Linked DNA regions of Struthio camelus. The protein of the gene in region 3 interacts with the protein of the main gene of each other region in a biochemical or structural test. Links are inferred from orthologs where the notes say so. Each region holds a gene or a part of one and is shown on either strand. Other genes may lie near its edges.

Region 1 (7,181 bases), on a different chromosome or scaffold from region 3:
CACATTTAAATTCCAAACCTCGTTCAGCAAAGTCTGACTTGAAACCTTTCCTGAAGTAAAGGAAGTTCTTTTTCTTCCCTCAGGGTGTCATTCCAGCTGCCAAGAATGAAGGTGTACTCTTGCAGATGAGAATGCAGATGAGACAAGCCAAGTATGCAACCCTGTGGAAACGCACCGAAGATTTAGATGTACACATCACACCTGAATTTGTTCAGAAATCCTCCTCCTAATCAATTATTTAAGTAGGAATATTATATGCGTTTCCCTTACAGTAAAAATAACCTTTTCCTTAAGGTGCTATTTTCTTTTACAATCTGAAAATTCCATTTTAACCGTCACCATTTTATTTCCAGAGAGTGATGGGAGGTGGCACACAGTGATGGCTAGTGGTATGCAAGGCACTATAAAAAAGTGTGTGGCCCCACCTCAGAGCTGCAAATTGCCACTGCCAATGATAGTACCTCTCTCATCAGTAAACGTGAGCAGCCTTGCTTCATGTTTTCTTTTAGCCAATGTGGATATTGTGATCCTTTCTTCCCATTTCCTCTCCTGCCTCACAGTTCCCTGAGTGGGCTGAGGAAATGAGTCACATCCAAAATAAGAGGGAAAAAGACATTCTAGGGAAAATTGATCCTTGTTCTCAAGAAAGAGAAGTACTGCTGACAGTTTTTTTTTTTGTGAGACAGACAGAAATTAAATAAGAAGAATCCTGAGACCTCAACAGTTATCCCAGGCTGGGATGTATACTTAATCCGATGTACTAGCATGCTTGCAAGGATGTGCTGCACTCTATACCAGTGAAACCATCCCAGTCAGCAGTTGAGAATTAACTTATCCGTATCAGACATAGCTGTATCATCAGTCCAGGTAAATGCTTTTATTTTGGCTCTATGCACAAAGAACCAATGCGTGCACTTTACAGAGAGAGTGACAAGCAATTAGTTAGGCACTATCTTCAAGACACGTGAACAGCTATAGTCAGCTTATACATTTGGGTATCCACTTTCTACATTGTGCCCACAAGGCCAGCAGTAGTAGAAAATCAGTGAATTAAACTATTAGCTACAATGTTTCCAGGTAAGTTAAGGCGTGGTAAAATGGATTGTCTTTAACCTCTCCTAATTCTGGTATTGAGTTCTAACGCAAAGAGAAAAACAGATTGGTGTACCAGAACGAGGCTTTTGAAAGGGGGGGGAAAAAAAGTACAGAAGAGAGGATACAGGCATTTAACTCCAAACTAAAGTAACCTTAATACCTTATATAATACTTCTTGCAATTTTGAAAGCTGTGATACAATAAAACTTCAGCAAGGCCATTCTAGAATATTTTACTAGGCATTCACAAAACACAAACACCACCAAACAACAAACACGGCTATTTTAATCAACACAGCTCATTTGGGCGCTTTGGGCTTTATAGTCTTCAGCCTTGATTGAAAACAAAAACGAAACACCAAACCAACCCGGACTGATTCACAACACCCAACCCAGCCCCAGGCATTCTGAGTTTGCATTATGGTTTAACGTATCAGCACTGTAGTATTCATCGTGGGAAAACCAGCTGCTACCATTTAACTGCGGTAAGGAATATATTAGCACCTAGCTAGGCCATTTAATTAATTAATAATTAACTAATTTATTTATTTTTCAAGTTTAGCAAACTCGAGTTCCGTCCCCGAAAACTGCATCCTGAGGAGCAGTGAGCTGTGGATGGAAAGGGGGCGGCAGCGCAGGTGGGGCCGGGCCGCGGCCACAGGTGCCCCCAGCACCTATTTGTCTTTGGGCGGAAAACGGCGGGGTTTTGATTCCGTAATAAAGCACCGGCTCCAGGCGTGAGGAGGCCCAGGACAGGGACGGGACGGCGGCCACCCCCTGCCGCGGGAGGAGCGGGGCCCGGCCCCACCTGAGGGGGCGGCGAGGGGCAGGCCCGCCCCGCCGCGGGGTGAGCCGAGCCCGGCCCGGCCCGGCGAGGTGGGAGAAGTGCCTGGACGCGCCGCAACATGGCCTCCGCCGCCTCCTCCTCCCCCGCGGGACGGCGCGGCGGAGACCAGGTGAGCGCGCAGCCCTCGCTGCCCCCGCCCGCCCGCTGGAGCACGGCGGCCCAGGCCGGCCCGTCGGGCGGGGGGCGCGGGCGGTCCCCTCCTGCGCCGCGCCGCGCCTCTCCTCACCTCACTTCTCTCCTGCCCGCTCCCGCCTCCGCGCGCGCCGCCCGGGCTCGCGCCGCTGCGGCCGTTAACGGTCGCTGCCGGCGCGAGCGGCTCCCCCTCAGCGGCGGCGCGCGGAGCCCCTCCCCCCCCCCCAACGGCCGCCGCTCAGGTGTGAGGGAAGCGGCGGCGTTCAAACGTCCCTCACAGGAGCCGCTCGCCTCCCGCGGGGGTCGGCGGGGCGCAGACGCCTTTTGCCTCCGCTCTTAAGCGTCCGGGTGTGAGCGAGAGCGACTGCCTCTGTGTCGGTAAAACCTGACGCCCCTCCTTGGACCTTGCCTCTTCCCGCTCTTCTTTCTTTTCCTCACTTTTTTTCCCCCTCTCCCTTGGCAGCGGCCCGCGCCGTGCCGAAGCCGCCCGTCGGGCTGCGGCTGGCGCAGGTCGTGCCTCGCAGGGTCGCGTTACAGGTTGCTAAGCGTTCGCTTTTTCCTTGGGATCGCTTAAAACAACAGAGCAACGCTAATTTATGCTTTTAGGAGTAACGCGCTCCAGTGAGCTGTTAACAAGTTAGTGTGTAGTTAGTGAGTGTATTCAGTTTGCTTTTCTTGTTGGTTTTCCAACACGTAAGTCATAAAACAGTAGCCTGGCTGTTGGATGGAGATGCCCTTACCTGAAATGTTCTCAGCTGCCCTTGGGACGTTTTCCTCCTTGCTCAGCGCCTGATTGCAGAGCCAGCAGCAGGACCTGTCTCATGAATGACAGTGCAAGGCAAGCTGCTGCTGGCTTATGCCATGCCATCGTGATGCTATAATATGAATAAGGGTATGCATACCATATGAAAGGACTCCAGTAGCAAGAGGGTTAAAATACAGGCAGCTCCTGTGGTTGCTGCTGGTGGTAGCTGGCACTTGGAAAGGTGAAGTGCTGTGGGAGGCTCTGCTTCAACACACCCATAACTACATGGGAAATTACAGGAAGGCTCTTTCTCCCAAGTCCATCCATCCTCTTCAGTGATTAGACCCAGGCCCTAGGGTCTGATAAAAGCACTGTGCTACAAGGTTGTATGTAGCTTATGTAGTGAATGTGATCATTTTTGTGTGTTGCACTCCCAAAAACACTGCCTTATATTGCAATGAAGTGGGCTGGTCTGACATTCTTCCAGCTGGGCACAAATGGCATAATTGGTTTTAACTGCAAATACTAGTGTCCTTAGAGTAGAAAGAACACATTTCTGCATGTTACACAATGTCTGACCAGCTAAATAACTTTTTTCCCAGTTTTAAAATGTGGTTTTAAAATGATTGAAAAAGTGTGGTAAATGCAAATTTTGTTTCTTAAGGCTATAAGCCCAGAGCTTCTGAAACCAAAACTGAAAACTGTAAGATTTAAGCTATAGTTCAATCAAGGGTGCATAAAACTTACTCTGTTTTCTTCCCCACCACCCACTTTTTTTTTTTAAACTGTGTTTTAATTTTTTTGATTAAAGTATCTTTTGGAACCATAAAACCGTCCTGGTTTTAACAGCACTTTTGCTGCACTTAGGATCCCATCTGCTCTGTGAGGTTCTCTCTCTTGTTGTAGAATGTTAGTCTTTCATGTTTCTCCCTCTAAATCTTTTGGGAGTTCATGCTTTAAAATTAACCATAAAATAACAGCCCTAAGAGGAGCAGTGGGCTAGACTAAAGCATTCCTCTTGAAGTCCTCTAAGGTTAAGTTCCAGGTTGGCAGGCTGTTCCTCCCCTTGCTTGTGACTTCCGTGTTTTGAGCCCTGTACTTCATCAATGAGAGCTCCTAGAATGAGAAGACAGAACTTCCTGTGTTGTCAGTACACAAGACATTTTTGCTTCACTTCTTTTATCTGCCTTGTGGATATACAGGTTAAATGAGACTTGTCAGATTTTTCCAAAGTAGGCAACTTCCAAACTTATTATTCTGAAAGGTTCATGATCTAGGCTACATTTAAAGGATTGAAGCAGTGAGGTTTTTAAAGAAGATGATAGTTCTCTGTCTCTAAGCTGGACATGTTGCATCTTGGCCTTGGAGTAGTCTTAGAACAGTTCAGGAGTCTCAGCTTTGCCCTCAGGGTCTAGTTCTGCAGCCTTACATCCTTCCACACTGTCAAGGCCAGCAGAACTTTCCACTGGATTGAAAATAATTTTAGGTCAGGTTCTTAAATGTTAATCTCTTCCCCCCCCCCCCCCCCCCCCCCCGCAATGGGTATTAAAGGTGTATAGATCTTGAATTTTTTAATGGGCAGCATTAGAAGTGGGGATGTGTTTTGAAATAGCATTGGTATTTTTAGTGAGTTGCTAGGAGAATAGTCTCTGCTATCATAAATCTCACTCTGCCTAAATACCTTCCACGAGAACTTGCTAGTGTGCATCTCCTGATTTTTGTTGCAGAATGATACTGTGCTGTTGCATGCCGTTGTTCTATTGATACTTGCCCGATAATTTTTTTCCTTTTTTAATGGAAAAAATATCACCTTGCTTGTCTTTTCTAAATCCTAATTTATTGCTAATTATATGCTTTTATTAAGGTAGTGAGTTATATCTTAGTGCTATAATTTACAATTCACATACATGTTTACTTGTAGATAAGTATTTTTCTTTTTTCCAAACTCTATTTCCAGTTTTGCTCCAAGATAACCTCTAAACTCTACAGAGTGAGTCAGAAATACTGTAACAGCATGAGAAAGAAAATAGCTTGCAATTAAAAATATTCTTGTATTACTGTACTGCTTAGCTGTTAATAATTAGGATGACTGCTACTTATTTCACTTTAATATATTCTAAAATTTTACTCAGAAGTATATATTTTTTAAAAAGGAACAGGAAGGGTAGAATATACTTTTTTAGTTCTAATTCTTTTATTATAGTTCTGAGTGTCAACATTACAAATACTGTTAAAATTCAACATCTAACAGGAAGTTTATTATGCCTGTAGGTCACTGACAGTGCTGTTCTGTCCTGTAATGTTTATATTTGGGGAGTTTACAGTACTGAGTAAGTTTGTGGATTGTCTAAAGCTTGGAGGAGCTCTTAAATTTTGCAAGTTAAAGTTTTTTTTAAAATACTGTTTGCAATTTAATTTTAAAACCAATGCCTTTTTGGAAAAGAGAGGAGATGGTTATCTTATTCTTGTGTAGGGCAGGAAAAACCCCAGCTCTGTTCAAATATGAAAGCTGAATAATTCTCACATAAGTTCTCAATCTTAAGAGTGAAATATTTTATTATTTTAAAGCTTCCAAATCTGTGCGACCACAGTTACAACCATGTTGTTGCTGTGGGGAAAAAAAACCCTAAATTTGTTTAATCATTGGAATCTTTGAGGGCAATTTTCTTTTTGCAGCTAAAAAGAAATCTTTGCAGTCTGCAGGCCAGACTGAGTTTCAATTCCAGATAAATGCTTGGCATAGGTAGTTTTCTGTCACTGTTGTCCCTTCTGGTTCTCTTCTACGTCTTTATCAGTTTAATCCTGCTTTTCCTTCTACCTGAAAGTTTTTTGGGATTCTCTTCTACCGTTCTCTGGTTTCCGGGATAAATTTTGAGATACATGTGTGCCAGGCTCTTCAGAGAGTGTGAAAACTGTTAATTTAATCTATTGTTTGAATACTCATCAAAGGTGGTTTTTGCCAGTGTGTTGTCTAAAATGTGAGTATTGCTCCTGTACATTAGATCTCATGCTAAGCTGTTGACAATGGCACTTACAGTTATTTGGCATGGATCTGTGGATGACAAAATGAGAGCTGGCATGTTGCTTTAGTTCTGAGAAAAGCTTGGTTTTGCAATCTTTAATCGGGCAAAATTCCTTCATCTCTTTAAGGGAGCTTGACAAGGACTTGGCCCAAGGAAGACTTTGAAACAGCTCATGGCGTTTAGCTAATTCTTTGCTCCTATGGAAAAGGCTTAGAACCTTGGGCATGAGGGTAGTAGCAAATATTTCTGTTTTATGCTTGAATTCTAAGATGTGTAACATATGATGCTGAAATGTCTGAGAAGAAAAATGAGAATGTTGAGGTTTGACTTTTCCAAAATAAATATTTCAAGGTAGTTTTAAACCTTCTCTTTTTTTCCTTAATGTGATGAAACTAGTTTAGATTAATTTTTCAGGGAAGAAAGAATGGAAGGCAAATATAGGGAATGAAACAAAAGTCACATTGCTCTCTTTCTTGGGCAGATAATTCCTATTTTCAGTGGTGTTGGAGGGTGGGGAAATAATGAAGAAAAGACTCCTTACCCTTTTCTCACCTCTTCAGTGGAGAAATGAGATCAGAAATGCTTGAACTTCACTAGTCCTTTGATAACTTGTATGTACTCCCTGGTGTTGGTGCTAATAGCTTTTACTCTGAACAGTTAAATTACATAAACATCCACATAAAGTACATGGAAAATGATAGTTGCTTGCACTGTATGTTTTTGTTATCATTGGAAGGAAGTATGACTGTATGTAAAGAAGTATTATATGTGAGGAGAAAAGTGGGTAAAGAAGATGGGGGCAACAAAGAAAACTGCTTTATTAAAACATTAATAACTATTGTGGTGAAGTTCTTAAGAGGCTTTCACTGTTTATGTCAGTCTTTGCCACCTTGTTTTTCACATAGTTATTGCATACTGTTAAAATCTTGCCAAGTCTTATTAGCATCTTGAACAAATCCATCCAGTTTCCTTTCGGGGAAGGTGGCGCCCTACAAAAATGAATTTAGCATTAGCTAATTAGTAACATTGTAATTTGTTTTATTTAATCCACTTACAACTTCAGTTCCTGCTGATCTGTGGCAGAGAAAAAGGTACCATCTTTTCTTTAGTCTCTCTTTATAATGAAGTAGTTCCTAACAAATTCAGGAAGCTATTCTCTAGGGACATACTTAGGGTGGTGCTCTGAAAAGGAGATATTACTCAAAGTTTCCATGTACTGTCTGATACTTGCCTCATGATTTTATCAGTATGTGATACTGATTCTATCTGGTTGTAACTTAAAAATGTTATAGGCTAAAGAAAGAACTTCTGTGTAGCTGTAGTCCGGAGGGTTCATTAGC
Region 2 (7,135 bases), on a different chromosome or scaffold from region 3:
CCAAAAAAAAACCACTGCTGAGCTGGTGAGAATATGTTTAGGAAAACCAACTGTCAGAACAGTCTGAAAGAGACTGAGAGCAATAGCCTTCCAATAAGTTATTTTAAAAGCCCCCAAAGTCACAGTATCTGACTATTTTACACTCTTAATGTAACAGACCCCGTATCTCCTGCAGCACGGGACAACAAAAAACTGTGCCTTTTTCACATGTGGGGAACTAGAGGCAGCCTAAAACTGTCTTGTCCACAGCCAGCACAGGAAATCTGTGGCAGCAGGACATTTATGTGTACATCCTTTTAAGTGAATAGATAGCAAAAAATAGTGCCTCTTGCTGTTGAGGCTTTGCTTCCAAATGCTTACCCAATACACAAAAATATATATATTTTGCTGAGTTTCTACCTCTTTTTTCCTCCCCCCTCCCCCCCCAATATTTTCTCCTCTTTCTTCCTACCTGACTCTCTTTACTATTCTCCTGCTAACCCTGCCAGCTTGCTTATCTTGAGGAATAAATCTATCACTACAATGTTGCCAGAAAGCACCTCTGCTGTTTCAAGCTAACATCACATATCAATTCTTATTAGAGTACAATTCTTATTATCTAGTACTTATTAGAGTTCACTTCAGTGCATCATGATCTTCTACAAAGATCAAAAAAATTAATTGACGTTTCAGGTTTTCAAAACAAAAGTATCCTGCAATCTGCTAAAGACTTTACTATTAACCAGGCTTTTAAATGAAATCAAATATTGAAAGTACTCAAAGAGCAAAGACATTTAACAAACGATGTACCTCTTCACAGGTTTTTACATAGTGAAAAGCTTCAGCCTGCCGACAAAATATTTTCCAAACAGGGGATGGTTGAAAAGGTTTGGACAGCTTTGGTCTGTAAACTGGAAGAAGAGGGTTTCTTTCATAGTGAGATGCTAGTTCTTCAACTTTCTTCAGTCTTTCTTCCCATTTTCTCTTCATTTCTCCTAAAGCAACTGCAAATAGCCAAATCAGTATCAATTTCTGTTTGTGATTCAATTGTAATATACCCTATGCCCACCTCTGCTTTTGATTCTTTATTTGTTGAGCATTCATTATTTATTCACCTAGTATGGCCAATATTCAAAACCAACACCCAATTTAACTATGATAGTCCTTCCTTAACATTTAATCTTTCCACGCAGTTCTGGTAAAGATCATTTATTTTCATATTAATTCAATCAAAGATCAACACACAGAAAAGATGAAGTAAGGGAATGCACAAGAAGTTTAATTTTGATTTACAGAACAGTATTACACTCTGTACAAGAGTACACAAAACTGTCTTAATTAGCCTCACATGATTAGTAACGAGTGCAAAAATGCTATGGTTTCTGCTTTATGGCAAATACTTTATGGCTGGAGAAAAAAAACAGGGTAATTGATTTATATGGGTAATAAATCACTTGAGTTCCTAAGCAAAAATTAAGATTTCAGTGACCTAGCTCTGAGCTCTGTGTCTCAAAGTAAAAGAACTGAAATCCTAAATGAGTGCTCCATTCTCTGATGCTGAACTTAGCTATTGATCAGTAATAGTTTCACCTGCTTTAAAAATCTCATGTTTTCTGTGCTTCCTTGCAAACCTAAAATAGCAACCCTGTCTGTTCTCAAGAAATGGTATGTGACACAGTAATGCTTGCTGTCATGCAACCTTTAACATAAAGGGATCCACATGCTGTAAAGCAACGTAAAACACAAAAGTACCTAAACATAACAGAGGTATAATTATTTGCAAGTTTTACTACCTTTTTTTCCTGAAAAAAAATTATTGCCATTCAAAATGCCTACAAATGATTAAGAACATTCCTAAAAAACTGAAACAGAAGAAGAGGGAAAAGGAGTGGAAAAGACTCAGATGCATCTTTTTATTCCATTTAGGATTATCACTTAACCAACGCTTGGTACACCTAACAACATGCCACTTGCAATAAAAGAGAAAACAAAACTAACTATACTCAAAAGCCTTCATACCTTTAACAGACTGGATACGCAAGGTGAATTTAAATATTTAAATATCCCTGTGGGCACCAAAGCCCAAATTCTACATCCTCTGAGTCCCCCTCCAAGTTTTCCACAGCGAAGTGTTCTGGACTCCAGCATTTATGCCCATGGTACACTTAAACCTGCCTTAAAGGTTTAAAGGTGTAGTGCCCAGGTCAAGCCTAAACAACAGAATGCTTTTTCCTCTTACAGGGGCCAAATATACCATGTCTGCAGACCTTGACAGCCTGTTGACCTATGAACTTCCTCCACTCCCTTCCTCTTCATGCAATCAATTTCTTCCTTGGCAATGCAAAGAGAAATCATAGATGGCAATCAGCATTTCTCAGAAGCAGCAGAACCTTTGGTTTCGTTTTGATACTGTTTGCGTTGCTGTAAATTAATTCAGTGCAGAAGGACAATAGAGATTCGCTACCTCAGCACCCTCCCACAAGGTCACAGTTAAAGAGGAGGGAGGCAAAGGAGAATTCCCGTAATCCTACACTCATTTTAAACTTCCTATTTAGGAATATTTTTTGCAGAAACAATTTCTACAGGGATACTCGAGTCTGAGCAAAGGATGATGCCTCTTACTTTAAATTGAGATCTGTCACTTTTTTTTTCAGTCCAAACGTTCATGGATTCTCAGCAGTCCAATGTCTCAGGTCTTTCGAAAATAACTTCAGCTCCTATACCAAATATACCCAACGTAACACATCTACTTAGAGCATGTACAGTTTAGACCTACAGACTAGTAAGCCACCTGAGTTTACATGGAAATTCTGACTCCGTTTTCATTCAGTTCCTTCCCACCAGAAGGAATGGGAATAATTATATTCATTTCACTCCCCAGAAAGAAATTTTGTCATCAGCATGTTTGTACTTCACTGTTTTTGATAGCATATGAAGACATTCAGAAAACATATCTCCCGGGAGATCACAAACTCTGCATTTCATTTCCCCCTTTGATGAAAGACTATCAAAAAGCAAGCAAGTGCCTATTTCGACAGGTTGGAAAATTTAGTTTTTGATCTTGAATTTACCCTGCTTTTTGCTACTAAAGGTCAATATACGAATAAGAAAGTAAACAACTGACCCTAAAGTTCATAATGAAGCAGGAACTACCTCTTACATTCAAACAGCTATTGCATAAGAGCGCATGGCAGGGCATTCAGATTCTAGTAAGAAGGGATTCAGACTACATTCATTGCTAAGCTGTACAATTTCCAAGTTTGCATCACGTAGCCATGGGAGATAAAATCCATCATAAGTGGAAGGGCCTGCTCTGATACAGTTCAGTATATCTGTATTTCTTCTGATCACTGAAACCAGAAAGATGCCCTCTCATATGCTATTCATCCCCTGCAATTTATTTACGATCATAATCAACCACTTGTTTGGACTGCCAGAAACACATTAATTTTTCAGCACACAGAAGAACTGAAACAAAACACATATCCAGGTTACGCAAATTCAAACACAAACAAGCGGTATTTCCACTGCAGCGTACAGAGGAAACAACCAAGTTTTATGCTCAGGCAGCTGTAAGAGGCCTGGTACGCAACGCAACTTAAAGCCTGCTTGGGCACTTCCGCACTTGCGGTGCAGGTGTAATTCAGGCACAATCACAATCAAAATGCATGACTGCTAATTTGTCACCCATGTGCCAGCACAGACTTCATTAGGTTCTCTGTAAGCTACAGCAACGACCATATTTAAACACTTCACACATTATCATGGTCTGAATGTTATAAAACACCAGGGAACTCCGACTAGGTTTTGAGATCTTTATGCTAAGAATATAAGGACCTGCAGTTTACCAGCACGACGTAACTGGTGGTGGTAACAAGAACATCACCAGGTCCAAACATGAAGAAATTATGAGTGACAATTCGGGCGGGGCGGCGCCCGAAGAGCAGCAGCAGCGCGCGCCGCCGCCGCCTCCTCCTCCTCCTCCTCCTCCTCCTCACAGCGCGGCCGCGCACGCACAGCGGCCTCCTCCCCCCCCGCCCCCCCCGCCCCGCCCCGGCGAGAGCCGGCAGGGCGGGCGGCCCCTCGGCCGCGCTCCCAACGGCCCCAACGGCCGGGTTCACCGCCCCCGCCCTCCTGGCGGCGCCTTCCCGCAGCGCGGCTCCCCCTGCGCCCCGAGGGGCGATGAGGCCGGGGGGGGGGGAAGACCCCCCCCCGCCGCGGACCCCGACTCACCGCCGCGGGCCCGCGCGCGGCCGGCTGCCGTTGGCGTTTGAGCGCGCCGCCGTTGGCCCGGCCCTCCCCCGCCGCCGTCCCCTCCCCGCGCGGGGCGGAGCCAGTGAGGCCCTCGCACAAGGCGGTGGCTCCTTCCCTCGCCGCCCAGCCCCGGGAGAGGAGGCCAGGTCGGGAGAGCAGCGCCGCGCAAGGGGGACGAGCCGGTGGGTAAGGGCGGCGGAGGTAGGCGCGGGGTTTGCCGGGCGGGCGGGCCCGGGCGCGGCGGCAGGGCCGGACAAAGCGGCGGCGCCCTCGGCCGCAGGCCGCCGGGGCAGGAGCAGGACAAAGCGATGCCTTTGTCCTGCCGGCGGCTTTTGTTATGTTTCGTTAGAGCGGAGCGGTGGCCGCGGGGCAGTTACCTCGAGCACACCCGAGGTGGCTGCCGGCCCTGCCCTTTCCGCTGGCTGGGGAGAGCGTTGCGAGAGCAGCCCCGGCGCCTCGGCGATGGGCTGTGGCCGTGGCCGTGGGGGGTGGGGGACAGGAACACCTGGATTGGGGTGGATTATTGATTTACCAGAAGCTTAAAACTAATCGTTTCTTATTTTGATGGGAGCATTTGTGTGTGTGTGTGTGTGTGGAAAAGATTACTAAACTTAAAAAACTACTTTCCAGTGTCCCTCTGATAGACTATTAACTGACTTGAAACCTAGGGCCAAAAACTGCACTTGGATTTACCAAAACAACTCTTTGGAGACAGCAGGTCAAGTCTTGTCCGAAAAACGGCAGTTCAGTGACCCAGTTCTTAACAAAATGCTGGATGTGTGTTAGCTAAGATTCATCCTGAGATCAGATTCACGAATGCGGTGGTAAGAGTGTTTACTTGCCTCTTAACGTTCTGATCCTGCAAATACAGGGAAAAATATCAACATACTTGAGTCACTCACTTGACAGAAACTGTTACCCTAAGTTTTTATAGCATGTAGATGTCCCTGTCCAAGGTATTGTCGGTCCGTTCGCTGCTAGATTGAAGGATAGTATAGGTAATCTACTCTTTGATTCTCCAGCTAATAGTTGTAGTTCTTCTGAGTTTCTGCTTGTGGTTAGTAGGCAGGCTTAAAAATATACTCTTTGCCCCTAGCAGCCGATCAGGCTCCTTAACGTTATTGGTTGTGGTGATAATGTAGCTAATAGGTATAGATGGATGAATAAGCAAAGGCCCTGTGTATTCTGGGAATAAATTTTCAATGTGCTGAGTTGACACATCAATGCTGATTAACTAAATCTGTTTGTCTTTGGAAGATCAGACTGCTGGCCCGGTGTCAGTGCTTTTCAGCAACCACATCCAGGCTAGAAGCAGCGTGAAGTGCTGTCACAATATTGGCATGCTTCCATCAAGGGAAGCAGCATTTGATAATGGTGTAATATCACACAGAAAATATGATATTTTTCAAAATTTTTTTTGTTTTTTCTTATAGACAATTTATATATTTTCCTTCTGCTATTATCTAATTATCAATATACATTATATAATGTAAACTATTAATTTTGCATGTCTGCATTGGTATTGCAATGTTCCTTATCCATATACATTAAAAAAAGCTGCCTTGAATGTTTGACGTTTTCTTTTGCAAGCATGTGAGGTGGAAAACTGTGCCCTTTGGCAGTCTTTATAGATACGTTTTATGATCTTGGATTCCGTTTGAGACATGTTTTTGTACTGCTATGATCGTTGCTTTGTAGCAGCTGGCTTATACTGAACATGTGTTCTCTTGTCTGCTGTGGTTTGCATATTTCAGGGTATGGTTGGTAACTAGAGATGGGTTATTTGCTTCCTTTCCTGTCTGAGAAGCTTTGGTATTATTTTTATCTCTGTATTGTTAACTTGTCTCGTATGGCTCAATATTCAGGCAAGTATTATTTTGAATAAAAATTTGATGGTTCTTATGACAATAGTGATAAAGATTATGTGAATTTAATTTTGTTAGGTTCAGGTGGAATAAGAGGCTGGACTAGGGTAAACACATTTTTTTTATTTATCATTAGTCTGTCAAAAGAAAAGAATTAGAACAATTGCATTTATCTAGGGCAAAATATATTTTTGGTTTTATTGCTATACATATAAGCTATTACTTCAGTCATTTCTCAGAGCTTGCTGACAGCTCTAGATTTTGGACCCCTTTCAAGAAGCTTATTCTTTACTGCTTAATACTTCCAAATATGATTGTAAGATTATCTTTATTTACACCTTCTATCCCTGCCTCACAGGATTTTTAAATATTATCAAGTTTTTCAAATAAAATAATGTAGAAAGAGCTATCAAAATAAGCTTCCTAAAACTTACAGAAAATGTTCTGCTAGATTAAAAATGCTGTTGTTCATCAGCTACTTGATCTTTAAGTTTCCATATAGTTGAAAGCTCTTCTCACCTAAGGTTTTAGAGAAAAGAATATCAAGGAGCAGAATAACAACTTTAATTAAATTCTTAACATATTTTCCTGAAAGGTTTCTCCCCTGCCGCTCACCATCCCTGCTAGCATGAGATCATCCTCTACAGGGAAATGTGTATTCCACTTGAGAGAGCATGACCTCATTGCATTACCTAAACTAGGATGAGGTAATTCTTAGTACTCGGTTAGAATCAGCGTTGTCCTCTGACAGCACTGCTGCTACTCTGACGTTAGTGCTGTAGGGCAGAAAAAGTACTGCTGATAAAGCGTGCATTTGAGAGCCCAGCAATAAGACAGGTACCTCTTTTTGGATATCTTTTGTTCTTTAAAGAAGTACAGGTGAATTGGTGCTTTAAGGTTCTCGAAAGTCTATGGAATTTAAAGGTAAGTTACAGATTCTATTCTGAAGATGAGGCAGATGAATTTGTAAATGCGTAATGTTCAAATATTAAGCAAGTGGGCATTATACACAGTTTTTTCTTCAGTATCTCTCCAGC
Region 3 (7,683 bases):
AAGGACTCAAAAGAAAAAACATGAGCATGAAAAAGTGTAACATCTTAAAGGAAAAAAATAGCAACTCAGACAGTTTTGGTGCTGTTGGTGGATTCAGTGGATGATGGCACTGAAGATTCATTTCAGAGAGCAACAGCTACCAACCCTTCTCCTCCCAACAGGAAGAGATCAACAAAAATTCTTAAAGCTGTTAAAGTCACTAAATAATCATTGAGCATGGCTATACCAGGTGTTTAGACCAAGTCTAAGACCATGTTTGCACCCTGAATCTCTGCCAGTTCGCACAATATCCTATATCCGGGACACTACATCAAGTCCCCTCCGTATCATTGGAGACAAGGCAGGGAGGATTCGGAAATGAACCAGGGAGCACAGGCCAGTGTGCCAGGGAATATGAAGCGCTCAGGTCTTCATGCTCCATAAACAGGTTGAGAATCATGACAGCTCTGCTCCATCAATGGTCTGATGGTTTAACTTTCCTAAAGTCAAAACAGATACGAGGTGAAACAGGAGTGTTCTGGCAGGCATTTGTCTAGACTTATGTCCTGCTATTTCCCTTTTCACTTCAGAACAGAAAGCAGCTATGTATGCAACTTCTCCTATTGCAGAATTAAACAGGTTAGCACTGAACAGCTGGTGCTTGCAGGCCAAACACAGGGGCAGCCCCTTTAAGCACATTATCTTTCCCCTAGAGGAGAAAGGAGTGAGTGGTTTAGGCAACCTCCTCCAGAGTCCTCACAACCTGAACCAGAAAGCCAGTCTGTCATAGCGAGAGGCCCTGCTCCCCATGACAACAGCTTGACTTGGAAAGAGAAGCAGCTATCAGCCAAGCTGTTAATTTGACTTCACACTCAAATAAGGCCTGCACTGATCTCAGCTAGAAGTAGCAACCTCAGGGCCTGCCAGGCTCCCAGAAGAGACATACGCTTGCCAGTTTCCTTATTTTGACACCCTGATGACGTGTCAGAAACTTGAGGATAGTGTCCAGGATAGGTCCAAAATATAATGCAGACTTTTTCCCTATACATTGAAAGGCTCTTAGGCTAGGCCTCAATTGTACATTAATTACAGGACAATAAATACTAGTCAAATGTCTTAATGAAGATCTAGTCATTGCCCTGTTCTGAATCCTATATGAGATCATCTTCAGATACCAAACAGGAGGGTTTCAAATGCCCTGTGTCTTATCTAGCCACTGCCAGGCAGTGAACAGTAAGTGAAATATGCACAATTATACTGAAAATTGTCTTGGCTTTCTCACTGAATAGGACTAACTACTTCTGTTTCACTTCATAGAGAAGCTTGACTATGCTTTGGAGTATATGTACCCTGAGGACACCCAAGGCCAGAAATTGTATTTGTTACTGCAAGAGCCGTACACAGTCTCTCTCCAGCACCATTACTGTACTGTGTTCTAAAACTCACAAACACATCAAGAGCTAGTATACCATACTGCAATTTTAAAAGCACAGGAAATGAGATCTGACAGATCAGTTCAAGATACAGAAGAATAAACAGAAGTCGCAACAAAGACATAGATGTTAGCCTATGCTAGACCTCAGACTAGGGCTAGTTTCCAAGCTGGGTATTTTAAACTCTAACTCAGATCTGCATAACAAAGCTTCAGTCACGATTTAATTGTACTGTAGCTGTTGTCTGAGTCAACTTATTCAGCCAGCAGTAATTCACTGAGCAAAAAAATGAAGGGAGGGCATAACATTTACACATGCCCAATGACTAACTTTGAAGATACCTCAGTCACAACTGCATCCAGATTAACATTAGCGTGCAGTGAAAAAAGAAAAGGCAGTTAAATATACCAACATCACTTTTCTGTAACACTTTTGTCCAGACCCTTTCGGCAACCTCATTAAGGGCAGTGGGTGGTGAGAAACAGATGATCTGTATAAAAATGACTCAGACATATTTGAAATAGCTTGTGGTCTGAAGAATTAAATGATCACATGGTATTGTTTTCTACTGTCATTTATTGTTAAGCTGAAAGAATTCACCATTCCCTACTTTTATTAGGCTATATTAACAAAAAGGTAAAGGTATATAAACTATTTTGTGCAGATATGTACACAGTAACATCTGACTTCAGTTAGGCTGCCCAGGGGGGTGGGGGGGGGAGGTAGGGGAGTGACACTGCACGAGCATCAGCTGCAAGTCACCAAGCCCTCAGTCAAGCAAAGCTACAGTTTAATATTTGAACTCAAATACAGGGCAGTTATTACAATATAATTATGAGCTACAGATACCAGGTACTCACTAGAGATCCATCTACAGATGATAAGCTCTCATATGTCTTCCAAGCTTTCTCTTTCACATTGTTTGATACTTTCAGAACATCACAGAGTACAACAAAGTCACTTTCTCCAATTTCAAGCCTAAGAAAAAGGGGAAAATATTACTCGTAGCATCCCAGTGCAACACACCAATTTACCGGACTACACACCTCAACAGGGGTTACAGAACATTAAAGTGCAACTCTGATGCAGCCTGACTTGACGCATCACTCTCTGGCAAGGCCATTCTGCTCTGCAAGCCACACAGGAGCTAAGGAAGAAAAATAACCCCCGGGCACGTATACAGAGAGCTCAAGACAGCACAACAACAGGCAGCCGGAGCCACGCAGATGTACAGGGAGGCACCTGAGCCACGCTAACGGCTTGCTAAAGTTTCTCTCTCCCCCCCTCCCGCCCCCACGAACGCCCCGCTGAGGAGGACGCGCTACTCGGAGCGCCAGCCCCCGCCGCTACCGCCCGACCCTCCCCGCAGCAGGTGCCCGGCGGCGCTTACCGGGGGGCGGCAGCGGCGGCGGCAGGCGGCGGCGGGGCGCTGCTGGAGCCGCTCTCCGGGCTGGCCCGCTGGCTCCTGGCGGCGGCGCCCCCCCGGCGGGGGGGCTTGGGCGGCATGGCGGCGGCGCCGCGCGCGCGAGGGCGGCCGTTGGGCCCCGCCGTTTAAACGCCCGCCGAGGGCTGCAGTAACGACCGATCGGTCGACCGACCGACGGCCGGTTCGGCGCCCCTCCCCCCTCCGCGCACAGCCGCCACTCAAACCGCGGCAACCCTCGCGTCACCGCCAGCCGCTCCGTCGTCACTTCCGGGCCGGCGGCGGCCGCCGCTCTATCCCCCCCCCTTCCTCCTCCTCCTTTCACTGCCGGGCGGCGGCGGGGACGCGCGCCTTCGAAACGCAGACCGGCACGACGACGGCGGCGGCGGTCTGCGCTCGGAAACCCGGAAGCAGAAGCCGCCCGCGCAGGGGGCTCAGCCAATGAGCGCGCTTCCTGCCTCACGCTAGCCAATAGGAGCTGCCTTTGCTTCGTGCGTCCCGGCAACTAGAGCGAGGGCTCGCCAAGGCGGGCCCCGCCCCCGCCCCGCCCCGCCGTGCCGGGTGGGGGCGGGGCGCGGCCCGCTGAGGCGGTGCCGGCCGCCCCGCAGGTACCGCAGGGGCGGGCGCGGTGGCAGCCGGCGCTCAGCCCCTGCTCGGCAGCGGGACACCGCTACAAATCCCGCCTGAAGCTTTTTTTTTTCAGCAGTTGCAGCATAACCCCTCCCTCTTTTGTCCCGTTTCTTGCTGTCTTAGGGCCGCTGCCGTCGAGGAAAACTTCCCACCTCACAAATGGCAAATCACAGGATCACAGAACGGTTGAGGTTGGAAGGGACCTCTGGAGATCATCCAGTCCAACCCCCCTCCTCAAACAGGGTCCTCTAGACCACGTTGCACAGGACCCTGTCCAGAAGGCTTTTGAATATCTCCAGTGAAGGAGACTCCACTACCTCTCTGGGCAACCTCTTCCAGTGCTCTGTCACCCTCGCAGGCAAGAAGTTCTTCCTCACGTTCAGATGGAACTGCCTGTGGTTCATTTGGTGCCCGTTGCCTCTTGTCCTGTCACTGCACACCACAGAGAAGAGTCCAGCCTCATCCTCTTGACACCCCCCCCCTTTCAGATACTTGTACACATTGATGACATCCCCTCTCAGTCTTCTCTTCTCCAGACTGAACAGGCCCAGCTCTCACAGCCTTTCCTCAGAGGAGACATGCTCCAGTCCCCTCCTCAGCTTTGGAGCCCTCCGCTGGACTCTCTCCAGTAGTGCCATGTCTCTCTCCTACTGGGGAGCCCACCACTGAAAACAGGACTCCAGGTGAGGCCTCCCCAGGGATGAGGAGAGGGGCAGGATCACCTCCCTCCACCTGCTGGCAACACTCTGCCTAATGCACCCCAGGAGACCCTTGGCCTTCTGGGCCACAGGGCCACATTGCTGCCTCATGCTGAACTTGTTGTCCACCAGCACTCCCAGGTCCTTCTCCGCAGAGCTGCTTTCCAGCAGGTCAGCCCCCAGCCCTGTCCTGGTGCATGGGGTTCTTCCTCCCCAGGTGCAGGACCCTGCACTTGCCTTTGTTGAACTTCAGGAGGTCCCTCTCCGCCCACCTCTCCAGCCTGTCCAGGTCCCTCTCAATGGCAGCACAGCCCTCTGGTGTGTCAGCCACTCCCCCCAGTTTAGTGTCATCAGCAAACTTGCTGACGGTGCACTCTGTCCCTTCCTCCAGGTCATCGATGGATACATTGAACAAGACTGGACCCAGGACTGACCCCCGGGGGACACCGCTAGCTACAGGCCTCCAACTAGACTCTGTGCCACTGAGCACAACTCTTCACGACCACGTCCTTCATGACAATCTCTGAATTGGATATTCATCCGAGTCCCACCTAAAATACTACTTTTAACAGTGTGCGTTGCAGTTATGTTTGGTTTAAAAAAAAAAAAAAAAGTCCTCAGTCTTTGATCCACGGATTTAAGAATTAACCCTGTTGTCCGCAGTCGCCCACCCGCTGGGAGATGGCCCATTTCTGCTGCCAGTTAGCACATTTTCTGTCAGGCTTCTGCGGTGGCAACTTGTTCCAAAAAGTAAAACATATTTGAGGACATGGATATGGAAGGACTCTTACATGTCTGCATTGATCATTCATCTGTAAAGCAAGCAGTTTTAAATCCAAAAGTTTAATAGCAATCTGACTAACAAAATGTGAGCACTACCAGTAAACGATTAAAAAAAAGCAGTATTTTAAGGGTCACAGGTTTTATTGATTTGCATGGCTTTTTCTTTATTAACTTTTCACTTAAAAATAGCAGAACAGGCCATTTTTCTGATTCATATTAGAATTAAACAAGTTACAGTAAAGTGAATACAGAACCAATGGGATTTCTGAGGCAAGTCAAGGTTCATAAACTTCAAATGAAATGTTTCATTCGTAAACTGCAGTAGGACATTCCTTACCATAATTCCAGCAAAACTGTAACTTTACCCTTCTAAGCATATTTAAGGAATTTCTTGTAATCAGATGACACCAGATGCTGTCAAAGGTTCAGAGGCTAGGACTACAGATGTCACCTACAGCTGAAGATTTGTAGGCAACTAGGCAGATAAGGTTAGCTAAACCTCCACGTGTGGTTAGCTAAACCTCCATGTGTGGTTAGCTAAACCACACGAGTCTCTTGCCCTTCCGTCACGACGGGCTTTATGAGCTCAAAAGAGCAAAGCAACCCGAAACGCGGTCACAGCCAGCGCAGACCCTCCCAGCTGTCCACAAGAGGAAAACCTGCCCTCCTGGGCAGCTTCCCTCCTAGCTGCTTCCACACACTTTCATAGCCAAGCCCAAGATCATCCGAGCAACGGGCAAGGAATGTGTGTTGCTCTCGTAACCCCTTGTGCGTTACCACTTGGTGAACATCGGGCCCTGTTAAAGGGCTGCCAACCAATGCCAGGGCAAATACTAACTTTCTAGAATTGTCCGTGTGTCAAACACCCTCTTGAATCAAGTTTTATGCGCCTTCTCCTCAAGCGACGAGAGCTCAGGACTCTCCATAAGCAGGAGCAACCAAAAATATCTCGTAGATGCTTAAATTTGCAGCTTATGAGAACAGGAGGAGCAGCAGCAGCAGCAGCGGGGAGGCAGCAGATGAATCAAGCTACAGTAACCTTCACTCCATCCCAGAGCCTCAGCTGTATTAACTTTACATCTAAACTGCAATAAGATCGCATGTGTACATGTATGTACCTCCTAAAAAAAGCACATGCATATGTAAGATTAGATGTAAATTGCTGCTTTTTTTTCCTTGTTAGATACATTGATTTGATAGTTTTAACCTTGGGTTTTAAGTCATTTAACCTTGTATTTTAAGTCATTTTCTTTTAAATGGAGCCTTTGGACTCTTGAATAAAATGACAAAGGAAGGAAAAAAGCAGCTCTTCTCGAAAAAAAAAAAAGTTAAAAGACTGCAAGGTCACAGCATTAATCATAATTTCTCATCTGGCCTGACAATATCTTTGTTCTAAATATCTTGCTACAACAGCTTTTAAAGAGCAGGTCATAGCCAGATGGAAGTCTGAAACATAGCCCAGTCAGGCAGCCCTGACTCATTGTTTCCAGCTGCTAAACAATCTTAAGTAATGTTATCATCTTAATTCTTTTTTTCAACTTAAAAACTGTTGCTATAGTTTCACAGTAATTGCCAGTGGGAATGGAAACCATGCGTTCATTATAAGCAAAACCAACCCTTTTTATTCTGACCCTTAATGCTCAGGCATGTTAGTAACTTGCAACTTCTTTAGTTTTCAGAAATCAAGTTTTCCCTCTACCAGAAATATTTCATTTTTATTTCATCCAACTTCATGGTCTATCAGGACTAGCTGCTTGTTTCTGCATTAGTACAGATCGACATCCACCACCTAAGCTAGAGTTCTGATAAAGTCATTTCTTCTTGGAGATACATGAAATTAATGTATTTCTACTAAAATCACTAGACTGCGATCTTCTGGATATTAGTGCTAGTATTGATTAATGACAGAATTTTTGCTTGAATAATGGCTATACAGTTAGGCTGTAAAATTCACAGATTATGAAAATATTGTTCAAGAATTATCCTAGACAAAAGCAATGGCAAATTAGAGGAAGAAAATGATTGAGATTGCATTACCTGGGGATAAATAGTGTCTTTTTTTTCCCCTAGGAAACCAAAGGGAGTTTTGCGCAGATCACAAATGGGAGAAGGAGTTTCTTGGTGCCGCGTGCGTTGTCTGCTACCAGTTGCTGCTGTGCAGCTTGCCGTTCTCCACAGGAATGGTACCCTAGCCATTTTAAATGACCTTTGGTATTTGAGAAGGCTTCAGCTTGGATTGTATCTCTGTTTGTTATTTCTAGGGCTAGTGACAGCACAGGGTCCAGAGCACCCACTTACATGTAGCCAGGGCACTCTTCAGCCTGCCTTGGTTTCCTCCATCTTCCACGTTCAGCAGCCACCCCGGGGAGTACAACCCTGTGGCCATTTACCCACCTGAATCACACTGCATTTCCCTTCCTGTCACAGGCAGGCTTTACCAGGGTGAGCAACAAGGGGGGCTGTGACCAACTCCATCAGCCATTTTGGTGGAGGCCCTACATCTCTAGCTCTAGCTCTAGCTGGGCCTTTAGCACTCACTAGCACATCCCTTTCCAGGTGACGCTGCCTCACAACTGCGCTGACCTCAGCTCTGCCTTGCAAGCCTGAACCTGACTTGCAGGTGTGGTGGGGTGAAACGAGCTCAGCTCGCAGGCTGTTGTAGCCCCCTTTTTGATGAACAGGTGGTTTTTACATGCCCTCGCAGTAATAACGATGTTGTGTGGGCTAAACTGGCTGC

Evidence for each region.
Region 1: of the proteins of RB1 (region 3) and CDK1, one has a biochemical effect on the other in vitro, tested with the Homo sapiens proteins (8 studies listed by BioGRID). The link is inferred for Struthio camelus from reciprocal best matches to the Homo sapiens genes RB1 and CDK1.
Region 2: of the proteins of RB1 (region 3) and CASP3, one has a biochemical effect on the other in vitro, tested with the Homo sapiens proteins (2 studies listed by BioGRID). The link is inferred for Struthio camelus from reciprocal best matches to the Homo sapiens genes RB1 and CASP3.

What each region holds. Positions count from the first base shown.
Region 1 is NC_090948.1:36,164,407-36,171,587, reverse strand, and holds the start of CDK1 (cyclin-dependent kinase 1), read right to left. Parts: upstream 3,107-7,181; 5' UTR 2,814-3,106; intron 2,276-2,813; exon of another isoform or gene 2,168-2,275; intron 2,051-2,167; coding exon of another isoform or gene 2,000-2,050; exon of another isoform or gene 1,921-1,999; intron 162-1,920; 5' UTR 19-161; intron 1-18. UniProt on the Homo sapiens protein: Plays a key role in the control of the eukaryotic cell cycle by modulating the centrosome cycle as well as mitotic onset; promotes G2-M transition via association with multiple interphase cyclins.
Region 2 is NC_090945.1:51,139,246-51,146,380, reverse strand, and holds the start of CASP3 (caspase-3), read left to right. Parts: upstream 1-4,029; 5' UTR 4,030-4,415; exon of another isoform or gene 4,416-4,434; intron 4,435-4,901; exon of another isoform or gene 4,902-5,057; intron 5,058-6,998; exon of another isoform or gene 6,999-7,022; intron 7,023-7,135. Other genes in the region: PRIMPOL (DNA-directed primase/polymerase protein), read right to left, coding at 790-983, 2,247-2,334. UniProt on the Homo sapiens protein: Thiol protease that acts as a major effector caspase involved in the execution phase of apoptosis. Following cleavage and activation by initiator caspases (CASP8, CASP9 and/or CASP10), mediates execution of apoptosis by catalyzing cleavage of many proteins.
Region 3 is NC_090942.1:192,180,340-192,188,022, reverse strand, and holds the start of RB1 (retinoblastoma-associated protein), read right to left. Parts: upstream 3,034-7,683; 5' UTR 2,919-3,033; coding exon 2,803-2,918; intron 2,391-2,802; coding exon 2,273-2,390; intron 1-2,272. UniProt on the Homo sapiens protein: Tumor suppressor that is a key regulator of the G1/S transition of the cell cycle. The hypophosphorylated form binds transcription regulators of the E2F family, preventing transcription of E2F-responsive genes.